Linked DNA regions of Oryctolagus cuniculus. Each later gene encodes a partner of the first gene's protein in a complex. Links are inferred from orthologs where the notes say so. Each region holds a gene or a part of one and is shown in the gene's direction. Other genes may lie near its edges. The genes, in order: THOC3, CHTOP and THOC7.

Region 1 (6,232 bases):
CCTCTTGAGTTCACAAACTCCGATCTTATTTAGACAAGGTCATAGTCAAAGTGGAATTTCTCTCCTCCCTTCAGAGAAAGATACCTCCTTCTTCGATGGCCCGTTCTTTCCACTGGGATCTCACTCGCGGAGATCTTTCACTTAGGTCATTTTTTTTTTTTTTTTTTTTTTTTTTTTTTTTTTTTTGCCAGAGTGTCTTTGCTTTCCATGTAAAGGAGTACATTTATCAGAAGGATAAGAGGGTGGGCATTTGGCCCAGTGGAAACTGGTTAAGACACCCATATACAGTATCGGAGAGCCTGGGTTCAAGTCCTGACGCCACCCTTTTTTTAAAAAAATATTTATTTATTTGAGAGGCGGAGGGGGGGGTCTTCCATCTGCTGGTTCACTTCTCAGATGCAATAGCTGGAGCTGCGCCGATCCGAAGCCAGGAGCCAGGAGCTTCTTCTGGGTCTCCCGTGTGGGTGCAGGGGCCCAAGGACCCAGGCCATCGCAGAGAGCTGGATGGGAAGTGGAGCAGCCAGGACTCAAAACTGGCGCCCATATGGGATGCCGGCACCACAGGTGGCAGCTTTACCCGCTACGCCACAGTGCCGGCCCCCTGACTCCACTCTTGATCCCAGCTTCTTGCTAAGGTGCACCTCAGGAGACAGCAGGTTATATTGCTCAAATAGTTGGGTTCCTGACAGTGGCATGGGCAACCTGAACTGAGTTCTTGGTTCTTAGACTCAGCCATTGAGGGTGTTTGGGGAGGGAGCCCAGGGGATGGGAGTGCCTGTTCCCTCTCTGTCTCTCTCCACCTCTCAAAACATACGGGTGCTTTAGTGTGCTTCTTGTATTTATATGTGGTAGTCTTGGTGGATAGAGAAATGCAACTCATACTTTCTTGCTTCTGTTGGTCCGTTTTCTTTTGACATAAAATGTTGCTGTCAAAAAGTCGGATGATATTCTAGTATTCTCTTTCTTTGAAGGCAGGTAATTTTTCTAGTCTATCTTGCTGTGAGAGGGGCTGGATTCACATTCTCAGGGAGGCCTTGTGCTCGTCCAGTATGTGGTTTGAATCCTTGTAGTTCTGGAAAGCTTTCTTTCTTGAGTTACAGCTTCTGGAACTATTCAGTTCCCTCGGTTGCCGCTCCGCCTCCGTGTTTCCTGTTGCTGTCTTAGAGCCGCAGTGCCCTTCTGCAGTGTGACTGCTGCGTGTTTTGTTCCTCAGCTACCCGGAGCTGAAGCCTGTGCAGTCCATCAATGCCCATCCCTCCAACTGCATCTGCATCAAGTTTGACCCCATGGGGAAGTACTTCGCTACAGGGAGTGCAGACGCTTTGGTCAGCCTGTGGGATGTGGACGAGTTAGTGTGTGTCCGGTGCTTTTCCCGGTAAGCGATTCTGCCAGCACTTCCCTGGCTGGGTGAATTAGCCGATTTCATCCTGGGTGGGAGTGTAGCCTCCTCTTGGTGGGTGATTCTGCTGTCTGTCTGTCTGCCCTGTGCTGTAGGCTGGATTGGCCCGTGAGGACTCTCAGTTTCAGTCACGATGGGAAAATGCTGGCGTCTGCATCGGAAGATCATTTTATCGACATCGCTGAAGTAGAGACAGGTAATGCAGCAGGCACGCTGTGTCTCATCCCTGACCGTCAGGACTTCTCCTGGCTCTGCATATCACTGCTTCTCTGGCATTACCAGCTCTGAATTTGTCTCTTAAGATCAGTCTGTATGTTAGGACTGCCACCGCCAGGCCATGAGAGAGCAGAGGGTTCGGAAAGAAACAGGTCTGAAGGAGAGTGATTTAGGAAAATATTTCACATTGTATCAGCTTTTAATTCTTCCATTATGATGCAGTTTTTAGAATTCAGAAAATAGGAGGAAGAAGAAAGCATGCCCTGTGTCCCACCATCTAAATACACCCCTTTAAAACATCGGGTATGTTTCTCTCTGTGTTTACATGGAAGGTTAAAAAAGAAAGCCTTTTTAAAGATAATTTCAGGAATTACCAAAGTTTTTGTTTGAAAAACAACAAAACCTGTTAAAGATAGGGAAATAAGAAGAGTATTCATTTTACAAAATGATTCCCTTTCAATTTGTGTTTAAATGTGGCTGTATTGTTTTTAGAGACAAGTGACAGTTCAGAACTGTAGAGGAAACTTCCAAGAAGAAAGTAAAGCACTTGAAATTCCACCGTGTAGAGAGGGCTGCAGTGATGCTGCCGTTACCACGCTGGGAGCGCGGTGGCCGGGCAGGGCCTCTCTGCCGCCCTGCATCTGCACGGTGCAGTCAGAGGCACTCTGCTGCTGCGCTGGGACCTGCTGTCCGCCTGGCTCCCGGCAGGGCGTCAGCTTCTGCCCAAGGCGGTGGCACCTGAATTCCACCTGGTCACTTTGAACAGGGTGTCGAACTCCATTGTACCAGAATTTGCTTAACTCTTCCTGTCTGGTGGCCTCTGGCCCTTGCGCTGCTGTCAGTGATGAGGGGAGGAGCATCGGTCACATCCGTCCCGTCCGTCCCGTGCTTCATGTTGCACGTGGGAGCTGCCTTCTGAGCGCCGGGCTGGGTTGCTGCATCCTTGGTGCTCACGTTTTGTGGAGGTCCAGTCTGCCATGCACAAAGGTGGTTTCAGTGTGGTCTTAGAGGCGTGCAGGGATGTGTGTGTGCTTCCACCGCTGTGTGAGTTTCTTTTACCTGGTAGGGGTAATGCATGATTTCATTCACACGCACCCTTTCAGGAATATATATCAGATGCAGCTGTATTACTTTTTCTAACTAGTTCAGCAAAATGCCTTTTACACTTGATCTTAGCCAAAAGGCCGAGAAGCAATAGCAAACTACTTTCTAACATTTAAAAAATTTTCTCTGTAACCCAGGTTAAAACTTAAAAGCAAAACAATTACTGAAGGAAAACACAATTATATTCTTTACATTATAGTAACGGTACATGGGAAGCGGTCTAAATTTTCCCTGTGAAGGGAATAATTGGGTTGTGACACAGTCGTATCACGGTGCACCTAGCTGTGTATGTGCTGAAGTGGCAGACCTGCAAGTCGTGTTGCTGACTGAGCAAAGCAGGTTGGCCGGGCTGTGCTTGAGTTGTGTTCCTGTGCAGGTAAAGAGCTAAAGTTGAATCGACAGAACAACTTTTGGAAGAATTTATATTGTTCTTAGAAAGTTGAGAGAAGATTGCAATAGGGAAAAGGGTCAATTGTAAATTGTTCATTTAAATATTATTACTGAAACTGAGTAAACAAAATGAAAGGTTGAGTTCCTTCATTAGCCTGGGCACATTTCGAGGACACAGGAAGCACACGTGGTCAGGGGCTGCAGTGTTGGACAGATGGAACTGTCCAAGTAGGTTCCATTGCGATTTCTGTTGTGGAGCACTGCTTTCATACCCTGGAACCCTGACTTTTATGCAGTAGGCATATATTTGCGAATTAAGAGTGATAGGTGCTCATTATAGAGTAGTTGGAAAATGCTGGAAATACAGAAAAGAAATTAGCCGTCACTCATAGGTCTGTAATTAGGAAATAATCATTGCTGATATTATGATATATTTTCTTCAGGTATTTTTCTTCTTTAAAAAAAAGGCATCTTGCTTGCTTGCTTATTTACTTATTTTTGAGAGACAGACAGAGATCTTCCATCTCCCCAAATGCTCACAATAGCTGGGCTTGGACTAGGCCAAAGTGAGGAGACAGGGACTCTGGGTCTCCCACAACCCAGATGGCAGGAATCCAACTACTTGGGCCTTCCCAGGGTGCATGTTAGCAGGAAGCTGGACTCAGAAGCAGATCTGGGACTGGAACCCAGGCCCGCCAGTATGTGATCTGGGCATCTCAAGTGGTATCGTAAGTGCTACACCATGTTTCCACCTTGTACTTATTTTTTTGAGAGCCAGAGAGACAGAAACAGACAGAGCTCACATTTGCTGGTTCATTTCCCAAATGTTTGCAGAGGCTGGGGCTGGCCTAGGCTGAAGCCTGGAGCTTGGAGTCTGGAACTCAGTTTACATCTCCCTTGTGCTTGGCAGGGACCCAGTCACTTGAGCCATTATTTGCTTGGGTGTGCTTTAGCAGGAAGCTGGCATTAGGAATGGAGCCAAGATGCTAACCCAGGCTTTCATATGGGCTGTGGCATCCTAAGCTACACCTGAATTGTGAGGCCAAACACTGTACCCTTTTAGGGCCTCTTTTTCCCTCTCTATTTGTATTTTTTGCTGTTGGAGTCGTGAGACACAATTTTGCATCTAAGAGTTTACAGGCATATTTTTAATGGTTCAATTTAAAACCAAGAAAAATTCATTTTATTCCTGATATCATATTTACCAGAAGCTCATTTTAAAATAATCCAGCTATTTTAGCATTTGAGACATACCATAACTCTGCATCTGTTTGTCTAGACTTCGGTGGTCTGAAATAGAAATGTGATAGTAATAGTAAGAGCACTGTAATTCAGAGATGAAGCTCTGATACCTTATCAAGGTGCTTACGCGTGTGAAGCCACGTGGTTACTTGGGAAACATTTTAGAAGGCCTCTTCAAGTCTGGTTTGGTTTTTTTGAACTGCACAGACTTCTTTATTTTAGCCAATCCGATAACAAAGGACATGGAGTTAAAGGTCTCAAGAGAAATAAAAGAGATGTAGCAGCCGCAGAAGCACTCTTTATGTCTGTGTGAGTCAGACGTTTGTTCAGACAAAGCTGCAGACAGCCAGATGCTGGCATTGTGGAGAATTTCTGCTAGGGAAAACGTGACCTGTCCCCGGAGCAGAGTTCTGTAAAGTGTGTTATGTATTTATATATGTCTAAATACCCACAAATGAATATAGATATATATTTAATAGCTTTATTGAGATGTAATCTGCCTACCATAGAGTTGATCAGTTTGAAGTATACTGTTTCATGTGTGCTGCCTTTATTTATTTATTTATTTATTTATGTTTTTTTGTTTTTTTTTTGACAGGCAGAGTGGACAGTGAGAGAGAGAGAGAGAGGTCTTCCTTTGCTGTTGGTTCACCCTCCAATGGCCGCCGCGGCCGGTGTGCTACAGCCCACGCACCGTGCTGATCCGATGACAGGAGCCAGGTACTTCTCCTGGTCTCCCATGGGGTGCAGGGCCCAAGCACTTGGGCCATCCTCCACTGCACTCCCTGGCCACAGCAGAGAGCTGGCCTGGAAGAGGGGCAACCGGGACAGAATCCGGCGCCCTGACCGGGACTAGAATCCGGTGTGCCAGCGCCGCAAGATGGAGGATTAGCCTAGTGAGCCGCGGCGCCGGCCGTGTATATATTTTTTTAAAAATATATTTATTTGAAAGGCAGAGTGACAGGGAGAGGGAGAGAGAGAGATCTTCTGCCTACTGCTGGTTCACTCCCCGAATGGCTGCAATGGCCAGGGCTGGACCAGGCCAAAGCCAGGAGCCAGGAGCTTCTTCCGGATCTCCCGGGTGCCAGGGCAGGGATCCCAAGTACTTGGGCCATCTTCCACTGCATTTCCCAGGTACATTAGTAAGGAGCTGATTGGAAATGGAACAGCCTGGACTCAAACCAGTGCTCATATGTGATGCTAGCATCACAGGCAGCACCATGGCTCCGACCCCTGTATTTTTATGTTAATACCAAACCAAAGTGTAAGCATTTTACTGTGTTGATTGTAACCCTGATAAAAAGTTAATCAGAACTAGAAGAATAGATCATGTGTAATTTCAATAAGTTGGAGAGAGAAAGCTTTTGGAAAAGAAAAACCCATTTGGGAGGCATCGTTCAGTAGGAAGGTCTGTGGCTGTGGAAACAGACTGATTGTGTGCTGTGCGTGCTGCTTGCTCGCAGGGCGGCTGTGCTGTCATTCTATGCGGCGAGGTTTCAGATTCTGTGCCTTGCTGGGTCCCTTGTGTTTCCTGAACTCTCTGGTGCTTGAGGTGTTGAGCGAAGGAAGCTGCTCGCGTTCTGAGGCCAGGAGGTGCCTGCCCTCGCATCCTGCTGCCCTGTGGCTCTGCCTCAGGGTCCTCCTCCGGCAGGTGACCTGGTGACCATGCCTGTCGCAGAGGGGGACGTGGACTAGAGTTCACCTTGGTAAGTACTGAGTGTCGCCTCTACTGTTAACTCACCGAGTTCTTCTCTGTTGGCTCCTGTAGGGGACAAGCTGTGGGAGGTGCAGTGTGAGTCCCCGACCTTCACTGTGGCCTGGCACCCCAAAAGGCCCCTGCTGGCCTTTGCCTGTGATGACAAAGATGGCAAATACGACAGC
Region 2 (7,356 bases), on another chromosome or scaffold:
CCCATGGGGAGGGGCCTCAGCAGGGGGTCTTGCTCCCCAGGGCTTAGAAGAGGAAAGCAGAACAGGTGTGTCGCTGCCTCCCTTCCAGCCAGCTCAGCTTCTGCCACCCCCACCGACCTTGCCAGCTCAAAGCCCAGGGAGGTCTGGAGGTGGCAGAGCACAGCCCATGTGACATCAGGAAGAGAGGTCCTCGGGTACCATGACCCCCCTCCCTTCCCTTTCTCAGCCTCTTTCCCCCCATTTCTTTCCTCTCAAGTTTTCCCATCTGCCCTGACCTGAGGCCCTCTCAGAACCACCCCCACATAAAATCCTAGGCCCCTCCTGGATGGCGCTGGTAACTGAGCCAGCGGCCTCCCTCCCTGGGGCACCCTTTTATCCCCTCCATCAGCCCCGGCTTGGGTTCCATCTCCCCTGTGTCTCTGTGACAACCACTTCTCATGTCCAGAGTTCAGGTGACACTCACAAGGGCCCCATTGAGGAACTGGGGTGTCATCTGATCAGGGCCCATTCATGGTCCAGTCCCCCAGGACCAGGGAAGGATGGCGACATTTGAGCTGAGACATCTGAGCTGCCCCTTGGGCCACCTGGCTTGGCACCCTCCTCTCCCCAACAGACCCCTCCACTCTCCTGCTCTCCCCCAGGCCTCCTGAACTCAAAAGACCTCATGCACTCAGCCCGTTCCCTCTCCCAACATACTAGTGCCAAGCCCCTGCCCCACTGCCCCCCATCAGTCAGGCTGGCCTCCAGGTCTCCTCTTCCCCTCCCTGGGAGCCCTGGAGCCTGGGCAAAGGCCTGCACATTCCTCCTTCCCTTCCCATCCCATCGCCCATCCCCGAGGTGGGATGGTTTTACAGAGAAGTCAGAGGAAACAGCCTGGAGATCGTGGGAAGTGTGCCCCAGAGAAGCCCCAAGGACTCTGTTCAGGAGAATGAGCTGAAGGACCAAAGGGGGCCCAGCTGCTGACAGGTGGCTGGGAAGCAGTGAGACTCCCTGCCCAAGAGGCCTGGGGGCCCCCGAGCCGGCTGCCACTCCTGCCATCAGGTACCACCCAAGTACCAAAGAGACTACCAAACACTAAGGGTGGTGGCAGAGTAGGCTTTAGAGGAGACCCCAGCCCACCACCCCCCACAGAAGAGCTTAGCTGCACTCAGCAGGCAAGGTCCAGGGTAAAAATAGAAAACGGAGCCAGAGGAAGCCAGACTGGTCCTGTGACCATCCTGCCTGCCCCACCCTCAGCAGCCTCTGTCCAGGCGGCCAGGAGCCATTGCGAGTGTCCACTGCAGGCCTCTGGAGCCCACCAGCGCCAGCGGCTGTGTCTCTATGCCCCAACCTGGCTCTCTGGCTCGGCTACAGAGCACAGGTCTGATAATTTAGGTGTCAGGGTCTCCCTGCAAGGTACAAGTTCAGAGAAAGATAAGAGGCAACAGGACTCCAATCTCACAGCTGTTCTGAGCTGTGGGACCAAGGCCAGGCCTGAAGGCTTCCCTCACCCAAACCCCAGACACCCTAGACCTGGTCCCCAGCTCACTGCCTCGCTCTGGGGGGCCTGGGGGGTAGGTGCACTGCCACAATGGGCTCTGAGCTGGAGACGGCAATGGAGACCCTCATCAATGTGTTCCACGCCCACTCGGGCAAGGAGGGGGACAAGTACAAGCTGAGCAAGAAAGAACTGAAGGAGCTGCTGCAGACGGAGCTCTCCGGCTTCCTGGACGTGAGCATGGAGTGGGCGTCCGGGGCGGGGTGGGCGAGGGGTGAAGGGAGTGGGCACCTCCCTGTGGTCTCTCTCTCCACCCCGCCTCACCTCAGCCCAGCCATCTCTCTCCTCTCTCGTGCTTCTCTTCTGGGTTTTCCCAGGCTCCCCCACGCCCGGGTGAAGTCAAAACGCCTGGTTTATAGATCACCTGTTAAGTGCTAAGCCCTACATAGACTCATCGGTAATAAGGCTTCCGCAGTCTGGAAGGGAAAGACTGACACACCATTAACTCTGCCAGGTTAAGGATGCATTCTGTGGGCAGCAGGAGCCCACCAGTGTTTGAAGGGTTTGGAGAAGGGCAGCCGAGGAGACCCAGTTAGCCGTAGCTCTCCCGCTTGCTCATCTCCACCCCGTTCTTCTCCGTCACCACCCTCTGGCCCTGGACTCGGTGCTGGACACCTCTCCCGCTCTCTCCCCCCTCCACAGGCCCAGAAGGATGCAGATGCCGTGGACAAGGTGATGAAGGAACTGGACGAGGACGGAGACGGGGAGGTGGACTTCCAGGAGTACGTGGTGCTGGTGGCTGCTCTCACAGTGGCCTGTAACAACTTCTTCTGGGAGAACAGTTGAGCAGACAGCCCCAGAGGGCAGCGCCCTACCGCTCCGTCCCCCCAGACCTGCCCCTACACCCGGCTACCACCTCACACTCCCCCACACACCCAGGGCGCCAAGCAGCAGGCCCGCCCTGCAGCTCATCTCTCATTAAAGGCTCCTCTATTGCCAGCCGTCTGGTGTCTGTCTCCTGTGGGTCCGGAAGGGCAGCCCTGAGGGGTTTCGCTCCACTTATTTTGGAGGGAGGTCACGTGCATTCCATCTGCCTTAATGCTCAGTGGGGTTCCAGGTTCCAGCTGGAAGGGGAGACGTCTGCTTCCCAGCTGTAAAAACAGAAAAATCTCCTTTCAATCCTCAGCAGATATTTACAGGGGTCCTACCTTGTGCAGGAACTGGGGATACAGCAGTGAGCAAAATAAACACCATGGTCACCCTCACTGGGTGAAGTCCAGCAAGGAGAGAGGCCCACTAAAAATGCACACATACAACTCAGTGCCCAGAGCGAGGGTAGAGGAAGCCCCCACTGTGTGCTTTCTCTCTTTCCTCCAACGTTTGAGGACGTGATTGTGTGGCCATAAGGAAAATCCTTTCATAGGTCTGCACTAAATTCCCAGGGAGGGGAGGGGAAGGGGGATCCGGGACCTGATCAGAGGAGAGTTGAAAAACAGCCAAGTCAGGGAAGAGGAAAACATGGACGGGCAATGGAGGCTGCGGCGGATGGCAGGAGGTGTGCCCCCAGCACTGGCTTGCCCTGGCCTTTGCAGCACTTCACGACCCAAACAGCGAAGGGGCGCGGGGGAAAGCCACCAGTGCCAATCACCCGGCTCTGGCATTGCCAGAGACCAAAGCAGGTTCCGCTTTAAGATTTGTAAACATGATGCCTTAGCCAAGGGCGTGGGGAGAAAGGCCCGAAGGAACACGAACTCTTTCCTAACGGGACTAAAACCTCTCTTGGGAGCAGGGCCGCTGACAACTCCAGGAGGTAGCAGTTAATACCCGCTAGAATAGCGAAGCCACTAGCCACGCCCCGGGGGCGGAGCCATCTGTGTAACTCTAAAGCCCCTCCTTCCCACCCAGGGCTCCGCCCCCTAGCTCTGCGCAGGGCGTGACAAATCCCCGCCCCCTACTAGTGCGCGGATCCAACGTCTGACGCAATTGCGTCGGCGCCATTTTAGCCGGTCCCATGCCGCACTGGGCGTGGCGGCCATTTTGTTTTGGAGAGCGAGCGGGAGTTGGCGGCGGCAGCTGTGGTGGCACAGACTGAAGGCAGGGAAGGGCAGGCCGGGCGATCAGGCGGGTCGGCCAACGACACAGCCAGCCAACAGCCACGGACTAGCCTCGCAGTCTACCACTTAAGCATCTGACCCAACCGCCCATCTAATTAACCGGAGCCCCTCCACCGTCAATTACTGAGGTTCGGCCGGTCCCCGGCCCGCCCTGCCGCAGCCGTGCTGGCAGCCCCGGGAGGAGCACTGGCGTCCGTTTCCTTCGGTGCGTCTCTGTGGTGAGAGAAGGGGAGCGGAAGGAGCCGGCGGACGCGCATGGGGGGCGGTGGGCTGCGGGGACCGCGGGGGAGGGGGCGGGGCCGCGGAGGGGGGAGGGGCTGCGCCGGCCGCGACCCCGCGGCGGGGTTCACGGAGGCTGTCGTTGGGTACCGAGGAAAAGAAAGATCGTTGGACGAGTTGAGCAAAGTTGGCGGTCTTGACAGGGCTTTGAAGACTAGTGTTGGAAACAGTGGCGTGCTTAGGGTTAAGTTCTGTAGAGGGCTCCCTGGGAGCCAGCTCCCAGATGAATGCCCGTTTAGGGAACCTTTCCTGTTCCTTTCTCCAGATCCTTAGTCCGTTGTTAAGTTCTGACTTGGGAATAGGAAACCGATTTTGAGACTAGGCATGCCTGTATTTTCTTTCTAAACCGGCAGCTGTCAACCTCAGCTACTCATTAGAAGCACCTGGGTAGCTACCCCTCCCCCCACGCCCCTATTGATGAGCCCCAGACCTCCACCATCAGAGATTGCGGTTTGATCGGTCTGAGCCCAGGCATCTGTTTCTTGAAAGCCCCCTGTGGAAAAACAGGCTGAAAAGGACGAGTCTGGATCGAAAGCCAGACTCTCTTGCACCTTCTTGAGCTGTTTCTGCCATTTTGGACCATTTGGCAGATATTACATGCCTTTTGGCCTTGAAATTGAATAATTTCTCATGTAAACTTGAAGTGAGCTTCGATTTGAGGGTGCTTTTTAAAATTTTATAGAAAATTGAATTGAAAGACATTTTGGTGCAAAATAATTTTTGCATTCTATGCAGTCTTTTGTAGTATACGTTTCTATAAACTTTTTTTTTAAGCATTTGTGTATATGAAAGAGAGATCTTCCATCTGCTGGTTTACTCTCCAGATGGCCACAAAGGCCAGGTCTGGGCCAGGCTGAAGCCATTAACCAGGATCTCCATCCGGTTTTCCAACGGGTGGCAGGGATCAGATACTTCAGCCATCACCTGCCGCCTCCCAGGCCTGCAGGGAGCTATTCTGGAGGTGGAGTAGCTGAACCACAATGCCTGCCCCTCCAGAAACTTTTTCAGGATAGATCCCTTACATGCATAGATTCTAAAAAATTTCTTACCAAAGCAAAGTTACCTTTTAATTCCGTTTCCCATGAACTTTGAAGTACCCTCCCGTGTTCCTCAGGAGTCAGTGGTAAGGCTTTTTCGGTGGTTTGGGCCTTGTTCTGTATAAGGTGGCTGTTATTCTGACCTGCTCATTCTGCTGTTGTCCTTTGTAGATTCTCGGGATCTGAAGATGGCTGCTCAGTCAGCGCCGAAAGTTGTGCTAAAAAGCACCACCAAGATGTCTCTGAATGAGCGGTGAGGCAGCCAACAACAACTTCAGCTCCTTCCTAAGAAAACATTACTTAAATTGGCCCTGGGGTCCAATGCACAAAACAGTTGTAAGCTAAATATCAACAGAAGGCTACAGACCTCTGTTCTTAGTTACATCTAATGTGGTGCACAAAACAAATTGGGCGGTTGTTTCAAAACCCCTTATCAGTAGATTTTTATGTTAAGCTGTCTGAAATATTTATCCAGTGGGATGTATTTTAAAAAGACTCCTCACACCCTCCCTTTTCTTCAAGTTTTTTTGTTTTTGTTTTTGTTTTTGAACACGTTGATACAGGGGTTGTGCAGCATGGGAGCATGGGACCCTGGCTGCAGTAGGCTTGCTGCCTAGTCCAAGGCCAGCAGTGTTGCATCTGGCCTGTAAGAGGCAGGTAGCAAGCTGTGACTATGTCCAAAGGCCCTCGAATGTCATTCTTGGGCCTTGTAAGAGGCACTTGCTTTGCTCCATTTCACTTTTCTTTCCATTCTGCTTTTAGTTTGTTTTTGCTTTGGATTCTTTTACAGTTAAGTGTTCTTCTCTTCCATTCCATTAAACTTAACCATGACAAGAACAAAAAAGGAGTGTCTTCATGGGCCCTTAAATGATTGAATTAATCATTTCCAAAGATAACTGCTTGGAGACAGAAAAAGTGATCATTTGACACTAAGAAAAGTTAAGGTATTTAAGGCAGTTTCTATCTCTGAGAACTTTGCTCACTGAGTTACCTTTGAGCAGTGATTTTATTAAACCAGTGTTGGACCACTAAAAGGTTACAATGTCTCCTTTTGCCTTTTCTGGAGCCTATGTACTTCTCTCTTCAGATACACTAGTCCTCCATATCCACATGTTACTGAGTGACAAATATATTTAAAAATTGATGGCATTCCTATAACTTCTATGGCTATGGTGTTGTCATGGGTTTTGAAGGTGTTCTGGTCTCATATTTCTTTTCAAAAACCTCCAAGGTTTAAGCTTTCTTTGTTTGTCTTTGAAATTACATCTTCTGTCTCTTGTCATATCTGCTTATTGCGTGTTTTTCATACCTTCCACTTCTCTGAGAGCCATTACCTGAGCCCTTGTTATCACTTTGGATTGAATGTGCTGCACTTAGCTGCATTTCTGAGTTTCTGATTCTTGCAAGTTTGTCGAAACAGAGGAGTCTTTAACCCACTTCAGCTTTGATCTAAGTGTGCCACTTTACTTAAAAGTTCGTGGGATCTGGAGCTCCTGGTCTAGCAAGCCATGAAAATGCCAATAAATGTTTTGTAATAAAGCTTTTATTTAAACATCCATTTTGTTCGACCTTGAAGCTTTACTAATATGCTGAAGAACAAACAGCCGATGCCAGTGAATATTCGGGCTTCGATGCAGCAACAACAGCAGCTAGCCAGTGCCAGAAACAGAAGACTGGCCCAGCAGATGGAGAATAGACCCTCTGTCCAGGCAGCATTAAAACTTAAGCAGGTGAGAGAATGGGTCTTGATGCTCCAGAAGCAGCTGTGATCTAAGGCAGGCAGCCCACTGAGGCTGTCAGAACCTGATGGATGATTCCAAGGTGACTCAGGGCAAAAGCTGGAACTTCTCTGAAAGAGAAGTGCAGAGAATTCCAGCTCTGGCAGGTACTGATAAGTAACTTTTTCTTTATTGTCTTCTCTTCTAGGGAGTTTGCCATCTGTTTGACCCATTTGTGTTATCAATGACTAATAATTGCTTTTGTTTCTGGTCCTTTAGCCTTAAAGTAGATGAAAGGCCTTTTCCATGAAGAAAGTTTGTTTCTGTTTCGGATCATCTTTAAAACATCCTTTACTTACTGCTAAATGATAGATAAACTAGGGAAATAATTTTATTCTTTCGCCCCTCACACAGGAAATCTAAATGGCCCTAGTCAAAGGTAAAAGATACAGCAGAGTGACCCTCATGTCCACAGCACCTAAAATTATAAACAGTAAAGTAGAGCTAGAACACTGAGTAACTAAGAGTCAGTGGATTCTTTTTCAAATTTCCAGTAAATTGGGGGGCGGGGAGCTTAAAAACATGAGGAATAAACTTTAAATGGGGGGAAAAGAAAAATGTCGAGTAGGGATAATAGTTTTCAGATCTGAAATAAAACCTACTCTTTATTATTCATAGACTGTATGTGCAAGTCCGGACAGTGGCTGTGGAAGGATATGTCCAAGCTGTGG
Region 3 (6,720 bases), on another chromosome or scaffold:
ACATGGCCCAGTTCAGGCATCACAAATCAAATTTAGAAATATGTATTGAGCATCTGAAATGTGTAAGGCATTGTATGGGATGCTGAGGAGGAAGTAGAATGAACAAGACACAGGACAGGCTTTCGTGAATCTTTTCCCAAGTGGGAAATATGAGAATAGTCTGTAAATTTGGTTTCTTTTGCTTGTACAGTGTCCTAAATATTTTTCACAAACTTTTATAATTGGAGCATGATATGGTTACAAGTATATGAAAGTGCACAGATCACATGTATACAGCTGGAATGTTCACAAAATGTGTCTTAAAACATTTTTAGATACCAGACTTCAAAAATAAAATCTAGTATCTTCCTTCTCGGGGAATTCATCACCATCCCGCCCCGCCTACAGTTTCCCACAGATGTTATCTGCCTTTTGGGTGTTTGTTCTTGGTTTTTATTTATTTATTTGTGAAAGAGTTTTCCCCTCCATTGATTGAGTCCCCTAAATGCCCACAGCAGGCAGAGCTGGGCCAGGCTTAAGTCAGGAGCCTAGAACTCAACCAGGTCTCCCACATGGGTGGCAGGGACCTATCTGTTGGAGCCATCATCCACTGCCTCCCGGGATCTGCATTCGCAGGAGGCTGGAGTCAGGAACCTGAGTCAGAACTTGATGTGGCTCCAAAATTAGATGCAGTTGTCGGAACTGCTAAGTTAAATGCCCACTCGTCTCTGTGTTTTGAATGCATAAAGCAGGAGGCCCTAGAATCTGGAAAGAACATTGGGTTTGAGGAGACTTGAAAAAAAGGCAGAAAAAGACCAACAAAGGAATTATTGAAGTGCACCAGTGCCACCGGATTACCTCAACCAATGGATGTTTCCTTTTATTTTAATAACTTAAGACATTTGTAGTACAGACAGCAAAACTAAAACCAGTTCATTTTGTGCATTTTTATCTTATCAAGCTCTGTTTTATGTGTCAGTTTCTCCAAAAAACATTGGTGATTTAAATCCAAAAAGCATTCATCTGTGTTATTAAAATGTAAACTGTAAACACCTGATGAATCTAGCGTCAGCAATCTTCCAAAGCCTTGACTCTGACAACCAAACCCAGCTCTAAAAATGTATATCTGATGTTATCACAGAATATATTTTAAAACTGGAACCATCTGCCTTCCAAAGTTTCTCTCTATTGCACCTGCGCTCAAAAATACTTCTGCCTACACACAGGAACTGTTGTTTAAAGATTTTGCTGTTGATTCATCATGTAGGCTCTCCAGGAATTGTTCACACTTAATGTATTTTTTGAAACTGTGCATGCCTATGGTTCAAAAAGAAAAACAAAAACAAAAAGACAACCAGCGACTACAAACGCATTTCAGAAAATTTTGTCTTTTCTCACTTCTTTTTGTCTTCCCTCTCATTAGAAAGAACCTCTGAAACCAGGCTTTTGAGGATCATTCCAGAGATATTCTCTGAATACACACATGCAGGTGTAGTCACGCACGCCATGCAGTGCCAACCCCTTTTCTGCAAGTGTGGTGGCGTACTTGCACCTGTTTTGTTTTCATTGTAACATATTTAAGGGGATTTTTTTTTTCTGGTGTCAGTATATGTCTGTACTTTTCATTACACACTCTTGGAGTATATGAAGGATTCATAATTTTAACCAGTCTCTTAACTGGTGAGTGTGGAGGTTTGCAGTCTTTTTACTACAAACAGCACTGTTAAAACATCCCTTTTATCTGTCTGTGCCGAGTACGCTTATGTCTAGAGGATGACTTCCTAGAATTGGAATTACGGAGTCAGGAATGCGTGTGCACTTTAATTTTGCCTGTTATTGTCCAGTGACCCCGGATGAGTGTACCAGTTTGCATTCCATTAGCATATGTAAGTGCAGTTTCCAAACACCCTTGTTAGCACTCTTGCTATCAGGTCTTTGATCCTTGCCAACATGATAAGATTAAAAAATGGTATCTTACCTTGGAATCGGTTTGCCTTTCTCTTGTTATAACCCAGTATTATTTTGTTCAGGCAAGATTAGTGGCTCAGGGCTGCCAGGCAGGCAGATTGGGGCCCTGCTTGTTACTAGTCATTATCATTTGCACTGCCTTTCTATTCCTTTTTTGCTTTTTCTTTTCCTTGGGGCAAAAGGAAGGCAGTGTTTAAAGAGAGAAAGACAGGGTCTCCCACGTGGATGGCACGTGGCCCAAACACCTAGGCCATCCTCTGATGCTTTTCCCAGGCCATTAGCAGGGAGCTGGATTGAAAGTGGAGCAGCCAGGACACAAACTGGCATGCATATAGGATGCCGTTGTCACAGAGAGCAGCTTTACCCACTGTGCCACAAGACTGGCCCTACCATTTTTATTTTTAAATGTACAGTTCAGTGGCTTTAAGTACATTTATATTTCAGTGATTGACTTTTGAGTGAATATGAGTCATGACATTGGTTGCCCCTTGAAAGTCCCGAGGAGCCAGATGGTCACTGATTCATACTGGCCTTCTTTCCCCCAGACGAAGTCATACGGAAGCGTCTCCTCATTGATGGAGATGGAGCAGGAGATGACCGGAGAATTAATCTGCTGGTGAAGAGTTTCATTAAGTGGTGCAACTCTGGATCTCAGGAAGAGGGGTATTTCAATTCATTGTTGTTTCTCTGCCAATGTTCTGATGTGATTTTGTTAAGGTATTGTTAATATTTCACATTTTCACTCACCTTAGATGTCCACTTGAGTCAAATTTTGTTTACTCAAGAGTGGATTTTTCTGGCCTTCTCTTCATAGTCCTCCTTTATATTATTTTTTAATGCTTATTTATTTATCTTTATCTGCTGGTTCACTCCCCAAATGCCCCCTACAGCTAGTGTAGGGCCAGGCTGAAGCCAGGAGGAAGCAGGGGCTCAAGTCATCATCTACTGTCTTCCCAAGTGCATTAGCAGGAAGCTAGATTGGAAATGGAGGAGCCAGGACTTGAACCGGCACTCCAGGGTGGGGTGCTGGTGTCTAACCCTGCTCCACAGCAACTGCCTCTGCCACCTGTATATTTATTAAAACATGCAGAAGGCAAATTGGTAAGAAGAAAATTAAACTTAGGCTCATTAATTTGGTCACTTTTAACAGTTAAGTATTTAGCAAGACAAAATAAATGAAATTTTCTTATCATTAACAGAAAGTTGCCATAGAATGTATATATTAACATATATTAAAATATAGAATATATGTAGTCTTTTTTAGCATAGAAAAATTTTCCTTCTTTGAATTCAATAATTAATATATTTTCTAAAGTATTTTTGCTTATTTTTAAAGATTTCATTCATTTATTTGAAAGGCAGAGGTACAGAGTAAGAGACAGAGAGATTTTTCATCTGCTGGTTCACTCCCTGAATTGCTGTAATAGTTAGGGTTGGGCCAGGCCAAAACTAGGAGCCAGGAACTCCATCCTGTTCTCTCACATGGGTATAGACACCGTAGCAGTTGGGCCATCATCCTCGGTTTTCCCAGATGCATTATCAAGGAACTGGATCAGAAGTAGAGCAGCCACGACTCAAACCATTACCCATATGGAACATCAGCATCGTAAATGGCAGCTTTACCTGCTATGCCACAAGGCCAGCCATGCAAATAGTTGTTTGAAATAAGCCTGTATTGATAAGATCAACATTTTCATCTTGGCATTTGTAACCAAACCAACTTATAAATTCGAGTACTATTAGGAAAATAAAAACATAAGGAGCAGGAACTCAGGGTGCAGTTGGTTAACCTGATGCCTGTAATATCCCATATGAGTGCCAGTTCAAGTCCTGGCTGCTCCACATCTGATCCGGCTTCCTCCTAATGCACCCGGGAAAGCAGCAAAAGATGGCCCAACTACCTGGGTCCCTGCCACCCATCTGGGACACTCATATGGAGTTCAGGACTTCTGGCTTTGGCCTGGCGATTGTGGCCATTTGGGGAATGAAATAGCAGATCAAAGATTTCTCTCTGTTACCCTCTCTCTGTAACTCTGCCATTCAAGTAACTAAATAAATCTTAAAAAAAAGAAAAAAAAAGGAACAGATACTCTAAATTATTTTAAATAAAATAAATAATTTTCTCAGAACTTGGTCTAATTTCATTAACAAGTCTTTGCCTGCAGTTTTGGCAATTCAAAAACCTCTTTGTCCTGTCTCTCTGTTTTTCATTAGATACAGCCAATACCAACGTATGCTGAGCACACTGTCGCAATGTGAATTTTCAATGGGCAAAACATTACTGGTATATGATATGAATCTCAGAGAAATGGAAAATTATGAAAAAATTTATAAAGAAATAGGTAAGGAAAGTTGAAGTGATTATTATTTCTTTGTAAATGTGTTTTATGACCTAAAGAAAACACTATTTGCAATAACTGTTTTGATTGATGGTAAAAGAATAATTATCATTATCATATTAATAAAAATAATACCGTAAGTGTTAGCTACAAAAAGCTGTATTCTAAAATGATACCATATTTTAGGTTTAGCTATTATTTTAAATGCCGGTGTGTGTTCTATTAGCAGTGGAACTTATGTAGAAGCACATTTTAAAATTGAAAATGGATTGAAATTATACATGCTTTTATAACTATGTTATAAAACCATTTTGTATAGAATGTAGCATTGCTGGAGCACATGAAAAAATTGCTGAGTGCAAAAAACAGATTCTTCAAGCAAAACGAATACGAAAAAATCGCCAAGGTAAGGGTTTTGAGGGATTTATTGTGCACATACTTTATTAATGACTAATATGTTGTACAGTTTTTAATATTGTAAAATCTGCAGCTAAAGTATAAAAAGAAATTAGGAATTCAGTCCTTTAATACAGTATTATTCTTTAATATGGAGAAGGAAGTCTTTGATTAAAGAAAGTTATTACTGAATTTGTGTTAATTGTCCAAGTATGCCTTAAGTATTTTTACTGTTTTCATACCTCTTTGCTGAAATAATGTTATGGTTAATCAATGAAGGTGATTTACATCAGTACAATAGATTTAGAGGGTTTTTTTATTATTATTACTTTTAAAATTTATTTGTAAGAGTGACAGGGGAAAAGAGAAATCTTCTGTCTGCTGGTTCGGCCCTGAAATGGAAGCAGCAGAAGGGCTGGGCCAGGCCATCAAACCTCCCACGTGGGTGGCAGGGGCACAAACTCTGGAGCCGTCATCTGCTGCCTTTCAAGCACATTAGTGGATGACTGGACCAGAAGCAGAGCACTGGGACCCAGACCAGTGCTCAGGTAGGGGATGCAGGTATCCCAAGCAGCCTAAACTGCTGTGTCACAATTTTATTTACTTAATGAAGCAACTTTTAAAAAAAATGAGGGGCCAGCATTGTGGTACAGTGAGTTAAAAATCTGTTTATGATACGGGATGTTTACGATAGCACTGGATCAAGTCCCGGATGCATCCGATTCCAATCCAGCTTCCTGCTAATTTGTACCTGGGAAGGCAGCTAATGATGGTCCACATACTTGGGCCCGTGCCACCACCTGGGAGACTAGGATGGAGTTTCTGGCTCTGCGCTTCAGCCTGGCCCAGCTCTACATCTGGGGAGTGAACCAGTGGACAGAAGATCTCTTTCTCTCTGTCATTCTGCTTTTCAAATAAATCTTTAAAAAAAAAAAAGGAAAGTAAGATACAATAAGTTTTTATTAAGTACACTGCAAGCATTTACAGGCTTTTAATATTTATAAGAAAATTAAATGTAATCTTTTTCTAATTTTGTTTTTTTTTTTAAATTGGAGTATGTCCTTAGAGTTTATAAAAGATATTTGAAAATAATTTTAATGATACGGCATTGCTCTTTCTATAATGTATATTGGAAAAAATAAAGATAAAATGTATAATTACATCTATGACATACATATGGAAACTAGAAGGAAATTAGAATATTATTCATTAATTTGGGGAGGTGTTTTTATGCCTTAAGTTCTTTTCATTTTTGTTTTGTTTTATTTTACACTGACCCTATATTATTTTGTAAGTAAAAAAAAAAATTAAATAAAAAGCCTCACTTTATTGAATTAGTATGCTGAGTTCCAACACAATGAACTTTATTTTTTAATGAACTAATCAGGATAATTTTTTCTTTTTAAAAGTTAGGTTTTGTGAGTCTAAAATGTATATGATGACATTTCAATGGCCAGTTTACTATGAGATATATGTATTTAATAATATCAATTCTAAAATCATTTAAAAATATATTCAGGAAGTGGTTTTGTTTTGTTTTGTTTTTGTTTTTGTTTTTTGGTTAATAAGGATTCTAAGAGGATCCTCCATTTCTTCTTTCGAAAGAAAGATTACCAGGAACTACATGACTTACCCTGGAGGCCTTAGTGAAGCAGAAACAAGGGCCTGAATTTTAAATTATTTCTTAGCTTCTGAAATCAAAATGAATGAGAAGTATATTTGCTGTTGACTAAGTTAATGTTGGGAAATATTTACCTCACTGTATTGTTATATTTGTCCTCCTCCGTCTCTCCTTCCCCTCCTCGTTCCCCTCCTCCTCTTACTCTCCCTGGTGTTCCGACCCCCACTTCCTTCCTCCGCCTCCTCCACTTCTCTCCCCCTCCTCCTTCTCCTTCTCCTTCTTCTTCCTCTTCATCCTCCTCCTCATACTCCTCCCTCCTCCATCATTCCTCTTCTGGGTAGATAGTGCATATAGAATCAGCCCGCTTGACGATTCGCTGATCATTTATGCATATGCTGACCTCTTATATTCCTTCTA

The links.
Region 2: THOC3 (region 1) and CHTOP share a complex: the UniProt entries of both Homo sapiens proteins name them as parts of the transcription/export (TREX) complex. The link is inferred for Oryctolagus cuniculus from reciprocal best matches to the Homo sapiens genes THOC3 and CHTOP.
Region 3: THOC3 (region 1) and THOC7 share a complex: the UniProt entries of both Homo sapiens proteins name them as parts of the transcription/export (TREX) complex. The link is inferred for Oryctolagus cuniculus from reciprocal best matches to the Homo sapiens genes THOC3 and THOC7.

What each region holds. Positions count from the first base shown.
Region 1 is NC_091437.1:62,176,491-62,182,722, reverse strand, and holds part of THOC3 (THO complex subunit 3), read left to right. Parts: intron 1-1,213; coding exon 1,214-1,375; intron 1,376-1,494; coding exon 1,495-1,595; intron 1,596-6,119; coding exon 6,120-6,232. UniProt on the Homo sapiens protein: Component of the THO subcomplex of the TREX complex which is thought to couple mRNA transcription, processing and nuclear export, and which specifically associates with spliced mRNA and not with unspliced pre-mRNA.
Region 2 is NC_091438.1:44,671,212-44,678,567, reverse strand, and holds the start of CHTOP (chromatin target of PRMT1 protein), read left to right. Parts: upstream 1-3,493; 5' UTR 3,494-3,796; exon of another isoform or gene 3,797-3,809; intron 3,810-5,078; 5' UTR 5,079-5,095; coding exon 5,096-5,160; intron 5,161-6,483; coding exon 6,484-6,637; intron 6,638-7,356. Other genes in the region: S100A1 (protein S100-A1), read left to right, coding at 1,571-1,711, 2,180-2,323. UniProt on the Homo sapiens protein: Plays an important role in the ligand-dependent activation of estrogen receptor target genes. May play a role in the silencing of fetal globin genes.
Region 3 is NC_091441.1:85,861,678-85,868,397, forward strand, and holds part of THOC7 (THO complex subunit 7), read left to right. Parts: intron 1-1,402; exon of another isoform or gene 1,403-2,492; coding exon 2,493-2,610; intron 2,611-4,161; coding exon 4,162-4,289; intron 4,290-4,605; coding exon 4,606-4,692; intron 4,693-6,720. UniProt on the Homo sapiens protein: Component of the THO subcomplex of the TREX complex which is thought to couple mRNA transcription, processing and nuclear export, and which specifically associates with spliced mRNA and not with unspliced pre-mRNA.